Linked DNA regions of Cricetulus griseus. The protein of the gene in region 2 purifies or fractionates together with the protein of the main gene of each other region. This does not show direct contact. Links are inferred from orthologs where the notes say so. Each region holds a gene or a part of one and is shown on either strand. Other genes may lie near its edges. The genes, in order: Sh2d1a and Slamf6.

Evidence for each region.
Region 1: the proteins of Slamf6 (region 2) and Sh2d1a purify together in Homo sapiens (co-immunoprecipitation; 5 studies listed by BioGRID and IntAct, with this or other methods). This does not show direct contact. The link is inferred for Cricetulus griseus from reciprocal best matches to the Homo sapiens genes SLAMF6 and SH2D1A.

Annotation. Positions count from the first base shown.
Region 1 is NC_048604.1:25,494,109-25,497,934, forward strand, and holds part of Sh2d1a (SH2 domain-containing protein 1A), read right to left. Parts: intron 488-3,826; coding exon 346-487; intron 1-345.
Region 2 is NC_048598.1:20,905,235-20,908,584, reverse strand, and holds part of Slamf6 (SLAM family member 6), read left to right. Parts: intron 1-568; coding exon 569-679; intron 680-1,012; coding exon 1,013-1,042; intron 1,043-1,924; coding exon 1,925-2,001; intron 2,002-3,350. UniProt on the Homo sapiens protein: Self-ligand receptor of the signaling lymphocytic activation molecule (SLAM) family.

The DNA.
Region 1 (3,826 bases), on a different chromosome or scaffold from region 2:
ACGACCCACATATTCCCTGAACTATCCCATCTTTCAAATCATATGTGCATAGGTTACTGAAGCAAAATGGTACTAGGTACTACTAAAGGGACTAGGAGGAATGAGATAGAAATAAAGAGATGAAAATATCCTGGCCTCATAGACTTTTCTACAGTTTTATTAAAAGTGTATATTACAGCATAGTAGAGCCTTTTTGCATAGTTACCTCTCATCTGATTTTCTGGCTGCAGCTACCTCCTTGTTGAAATTTTCTTATGATCTTCCTGCTGCTTATGTGGTCATGAATAGGTTGACCCCCTAAATCTAAGCTTCCCAAGTGTTTGAAAACTAAGCAGGTGTCCACACCTGTGGTACCTTGCGTACTCCTAGCTGAGGACTTCTCCACTGGATACTGCAGAGGTATTACAATGCCTTGATCTGGCTTCTGAAATGCTGAAATCAGATTCTTTATTTTCCGGAAAAATCTTTTGTGTACCCCAGGTGCTGTCTGGAAAATAAAAGATGAAAAAAGTATTCATTTGCCTCATGATGCTAAAAAAAAAAAGAAAGAAAAAGACCTATAACATGTGAGAGGGATGCTCAGAGAGGTAACATTTGTGTAACTTGCTCAAATATTTGAAAACATAAGGAAGAAATGAAAACAACATCCAGAAGAGCTTACTTTGCTTGGCTGAATTTCCTTGCAAGAGGAGCTAATGAGCTGTCATTGCAGTTCTCCCAAGGGTAGTACTAGTTTGTACAAGCTCTTTCTCACAGCCCTGCCCTTCCTGACTGCTACCCGTCATACATCCTGAACCTCTAAGGATGTACAGGCCATTACCCACAATGAATTCAGCAACAGAGGGGATGAAGTTAAACATAAAAAAAATGTATAGATCCTACAGGTCATTAACAAAAAAGCCTGAGAAATCAAAACAACAACCAACAACATGTCCCCCATCCTCATTTTATAATATCAAATATTACACAGGAAATTTAAAAAGTGACTGTTACGATACACACAACTGCATGGCTGGCCGATGCATATACTATTTTACGTCATAATACATACTGAATCATCCTTCATGTTAATTTTGTGTTCTTTGCCCAAATTGTTTGCATAGTCAGCCCTGCACCATGACAAGGTTTCCTCTATGACATGTAAATGAAAGACTATACAAGTTTATCTTTATTTATGTATTTGTTCATTTTTAAAGAGATCAAATTTGCAGGTGGCTGTTAAGAATGTATTCTTTCCTTGACATCTGTGCTCTCACAAGGACACTGCCTGAAATCAACATTCCCCACAAAGCTTATGAGCTGTGCTTTAGGCACCCGCTCAAAACTGTCATTTTACAGAAAATAAAATAGTATTGCTACGAGCAATTGAACAATGACTAGTTTTGCTTCTTTCTAGTTTTTTTTTTTTTAGAAAGTTGTTTTTCAGCTATTCCATCTGGAAGATTTTTGAGATGGGAACTGCTTGGTTTTTAGCATTTAAGGAGAAAATATGAGGCTGGCACACAGACTTCTGTCAACTGGACTTTAAACTCGAGATAACTGACTATCCAAAGTTACTCTTGGTCATTGCCTACTTTGGAGTGAGTAGGGAGTTTTCCAATATAAACACATGGTAGATGTTCTCTTTAGCTGTAATTTAGTGTTCATCTATCCAGTGTCAACGGACAGAAAATGGTCTCCTACCCATCCCTATTCTTATGATCAGAAGACCTAATTTTCTGCTGAGGCTTCATCTAAAAATAACATGGCCATTCTCGCAGAGACCCAAATAACTCTTTGGCTTCAAGACAGAGGCTGCAAATTACAAAGGCGTGCAAATGGCTACAAAATACCTCCTTACTTCTTCCTTAGGGCATTTTTTGATTTTTCAAAACACTTTCCCATCTCTTGCGTTCACTATTTCCTCGTGAATTGGAAGATATTGATTCTTCCAATTATTCTCATTTCACAGATATAAACATGTAACCTAATCATCTTGCATTGAAGTAAATTAATAAGCAGGTTGAGGTCACACATAAATCAGAAGCAGCAGAATTGTCTCTGCATTCCTTTCAGATTAAGACTAGACCAAGTAGTTTCGAGTGAAGCTGAGGTCACCTGCCAGAAGAGAGACTGCATATTTCCCCAGAGGGGAATCATTTGAAACCACACTTCATTTAGGCTGTTTCTTGTGGCTTATACATGTATTTTCAACAAAGGCATCATTTCTATGGAGACTGATAGTTAACACTTGATTATCAATGCTGACAGAGAAGACAATTACCACTGGACATAGAGAAGTAATTTGAACTTGAGATGCAGCATTTCTTTAGCAAATGACTGACCTAATTTATGATGCTTTGCTTAGGCTAATAAGTAATTCACTTACTAGCTAAGAATCTCCTGGTGACCAACTACCCAGAAAAGCCCAAAAGCACAGAAATTGGCAGAGAGGGAGAGAACAGTACACTTTTGACAATGAATTGCTGACAATCTATACTTAATAAATGATAATCAACAATTCATCATAACTTTAGCCTCCAGGAACTAAGTTAATGTCCTCAGTAATGTTCTACTTAAAATGAAATTTTCTGAATATTTTCTTTCATAATCCAATAGATTCAAAGTTCAATTTAATATCACATCTCTAAAACATGTCTTAAACTTACCTAAGGACAGAGGCTAGAATGTTCCTGACATGACCTTTTCTTATGGTATGTCAAACTAAAATGCTTTTCCTGAAAGTAGTACATAAGCCACTTACCACATTTTGGAAAGACATTTATCACACACACAAAAAAGCATCATGGCTACTATCCTGTCAGTGAATTCAGTTCTTGTTCAAATTTGAGCATTTCCCATACTGCCATCACTTAATTATCCATGGAAACACGTTTTGAATCACAGCTGATCTTCAGTACACTCTGGAGAACTTTCTTCCAGCCAGGTGATTTGAGCTCTGAGAATTGTGCACTACTTTAATATTCACCTTAACAAGAAGGCAAATTTTGTAGACAGAAAAAATGCAATATGCATTTCATGAAACAAAGATGTTTTTACCTATTTCCCATTTGGGGATAACCCAAGACAATCTTCTGCTCTCATGGTGCAAATAATTACAATATTATTATATAAGGAGGGTCAAATCAGATAATAGGATAAGGAATATTTATGCTCAATAGACCCTCCTCTGAAAATGTTTACAAATATGTAATGATGTGCTATGATGTTACATGCGAAATGGAAGAAAATGAATTATAAAATGTGTCTAAGAATCCATATCACATCCCTTCCTCCCAAGGCTCAAGGATCATTGAGGAAGAGAAGTGAAAAGAGTATAAAGCAGTGGAAAATTACAAGGAAACAATGTATTCCAGACACAGCAGGACAGCTTCACATATGAACTCACAGTGGTTATGTCAACACGCACAAGACCTGTGCAACCTAAGCCAGATCAAATCCAAGCATGAAGAGAGGAGGTGTGTACAAATTCCCACTTCTGGCAAGGAGCTGCTGGCAATTGATAGCTACCAGGAGAAGAAAAGCCAACTTTCTTTAAAAGAATAGCCCCTGGTAAATCAATCATGCTTCTGAGGAAGGCCACACATCCAAGAATATTTGGACAGCACAAATTGAGAAGACAGATTTATCAAAACAAAGAGTACACAAAATTTCCTGGATTGGGAGAGAGGAACAGATCTTGGAGGACAAGGGTAAATAAGATCAAAACATATTATACAAAATTCTCAAAGAACTAATTTTTTAAATCGCAAAAATATCAAAGATTTTTTCCATAAAAATATTTGTATTGCTCAGCTGAAGGGTATTGTTTGAGGGAAGAGGATTA
Region 2 (3,350 bases):
GTGTTATAGCATGGAGTCACAGCCTGTGTGAGGGCCTGCACAGTGGCAATGGGAGGAGCCAAACTCCTGCAGAGAGAAGGACAGGCAGGCTCTAAAACTATGCCTCTCATTAGTCTCCCTCTTTCCCTCCTCAAGTCCTCTTCCTAGAGCAAAGCCTCAGGAGCCAGAATGGCTTTCTCCCTCCCCCAAGCAGACCCTACCTGTCCTGCCTCCACAAGGGACCCCAGAAAGCCTGACAGGGCCCCAAACTGGGAGTATAAATGGCCTTACCCAGCCCCTGAAGGCAGCCCAGAAGAGACTCAAGAGAGGCCTAAAACAAGTTCAAAGGAGCCCTCAATGTTTTTAAAGATTTTATTTATTATGTATACAACATTCTGTTTCCATGTATATCTGCACACCAGAAGAGGGCACCAGATCTCATAACCGATGTGGTTGCTGGGAATTGAACTCAGGACCTCTGGAAGAAAGGGCAGTGCTCTTAACCTCTGAGCCACCTCTCCAGCCCAGGAACCCTCAATTTATGTATCCTGAGAAGTTCCTCTTCTCTTTTTTTCCTTCTTCTTTTCAGGTGTTTTACCTGAGAAAAATCTACAGTGGCATCAAACATTTATAATTATTGGTACCTTGCTGGCTATAGTCGTTGTGTGCCTAGTCATATGTCTTTGGAAGAAAAGAACAGGTAAATTTTCCTTCTGCCTTCTTCTATCTCTAGAACCGCAAGTGTTTAGGGTCTGGGGCCTCTGGCTGCCAAGGGCCAAGGGAGGGTGGACACAATCTCTGGCTAAATGAATGCATTGGGATGACCCCCTGGGGTGGGGCAGGCTTCTGTTAATATTTCAAGAGTGGTGTCTATTGAGAAAAGCAGGACACAGCTTCAGGGTACACTTGCTCAGCTGCCCTTCATTTGGGACCTGTTACCTGTATCCTCTGGAAAGCCACCTGTTGGGGGAGGAGGGAGAAAGACTTCCCTCACTGAAGTCATGCATTTCAGCTTCTTGCTTTTCTCTTTCAGGTTCTCTTTTTTTGGCTAGCCAACATCCAGGTGAGCATCCATGCTCTTGATTACAGCAGACAGGAAGGGATAAACCAAAGAGGAGAGAGAGAGGGGGGCTGGCCAGAGGGCTGAACAGTGAGAAGGAGAGAAAGCAGAACATGGCTGTTCAGCTGGACCCTATGGTGTCAGAGAGCCTGGTTTGTCACCATGAGACCTGTAGAGTTCCTCCCAAGCATGTAAGGGGCACCACGGTTTTCTATAGCAAGGTCAAGATCACTTACTTCCTTTCTGAGGGAGAAAATAAGTCCCAGTGAAAGGATCCATGAACCATCCACTGTCACCCAGCTGGTTTCGAACAGAGATAGGACTTGAGCATGAAGCACTCAAAACCAGGCTCCGTGACTGTACCATGGATGTTCAGCCAAGGTTTAAACCCCAATAGATAGACACCATTGAAAAAGAAGGTGTGATAAAGAGAGGCTAATGCACACTCATTTTCTAAGTCTCACCCGGTGGGTGATAGTTTCAAGATACCATTGTTGAAGAGAGGGCACAAAGTCAGGGGTCAGAACACTTGCTTTCCAATTCCTGTCCCACTGCTTCCTGAGTGGCTTTGTATAGGTCTACTGAGCTCTCTTGAACCTGTAATTCTTCATCTCTAAAACAGTCAAATCTGTCACACTGCCTGTGAAAACGGTGTCTCCAGAGATCCCTTGGGTGGTGGTGATCTTTAGTCCATCATGTGTTGAGCATGAGGGAGTCACTGAGACTGTAAGTCATAAGAACACCGTTCTTATGAACAAGCTTGAAACAACTGCTTTGGAGATAAAAACAAAACAAAACAAAACTCTAGAGATCAGCAAGACGCAAGAGGGAAGCAGCCCTGTAGTCCCACCACTGATAGCCATACCTTTTTTGTGTTAACCATAGATTCCTCCCAGAACACAGATACTCCAGGCTCTCCAGGGAGCAACACTGTGTATGCACAGGTCACTCATCCAGTGCAGGTAAGTCCTTTCCACTCTGTCCCCCACCACTGTTATTTTACGATTACTCACAAACTTGTCACCATAATCATCCATTATTGGAGAAGGCAGCCATAGAGCTGAGCATCCCAGTGTCGGCTATGATCACCCCTAAGGGAATGTTCACTCTTACTTGATTCCTAGTGTTCTTTAACTGTTTAATGTTCCAGTAGATCTTATCCTTTCTGGGTAGGGACAACCTGCTTGAAAGTACAAATTAGATATCCTCCCTTTCCCTTACTTCATGTAGCATGACACTCAATGAACACAGGAATAGATCAGAGGAGATTATACCTAGGAGGAGCTGTCATCCAGGTAGAGGGGTGCTAGGAGACCCTAAAGTGGTCTCTCAAAAGACAAGGGGGGCAAGTATCATAACCCCTCCACAATGAAGGAAACTAAAGCAAGGGGCTCCCACATAATACGATGGCCTTGGTCAAGCTCCAGGCAATCCTCTTTCCCACCACCTATGATTGAGACAATACTGGGGACACTTTTCTGAATAACTAAACAGACTGGAGAGCTGGTTCTCGTGTTTTCTGAAAAATCAGCCAAAAGAACATGGCATTCTTCAAATGGCCCAGCTAAAAGTCTTGGATTCCCCAAGCAAACACTCCTGGCCAAGCTCATCACAGACTTTGTGAAGTTCCTAAAAGAGAAGACAATAAAGGGTATTCACACCACTTACTCAATTGCCATTCCCAACTCCCGCTGGGAGCAAGCTCTCCAACAAACCCAAAACACTAATGGCTAGCCCATTTGTCAGCTTCTTTAAAAAAAAAAAAAAAAAAAAAGCATTATACCTTGGAGAGTTTCTAGGGCCTTAATTATTCTCTAAATATTAAAACCAGGAGTTTCTATACTTCTAGTTCCCAACCATGACCACAAAGCAGTGACTGGGCCATTAGAATAACAGGGATAAATGGAGCAGGCAATGAAGATGGCTCCAGTTATAGCTAACAAAGACTGGGAGAAAAGATACGATGCAATAACTATCTGGCATGTAATTCTCACAGACAGAGGAGAAGCAAGCATAGAATCAGATGCAAGACAAGGATGTTTTCAGCCCCTCACACATGGCCACCTTTCTGTTGCTCTCTAGTTGGGACCTTGGGATTGACGGGATGTTGCTCTTCTATTTAGGCTGCCTTTCTACTTCTCAAGAAATGTTGCTAGAACCTCACAGATTTAAACTGGTAGAACTAAGTCCCCACCTACTCTTGGCATGCCACTTCTTTCTCATCACACTGTCTCCCCCACAAAAATATATGCATGCACGTACCTCTTTTGTCTCTGTGAGAGCCAAATGCATAAAATTCTTTTTTTGTTGT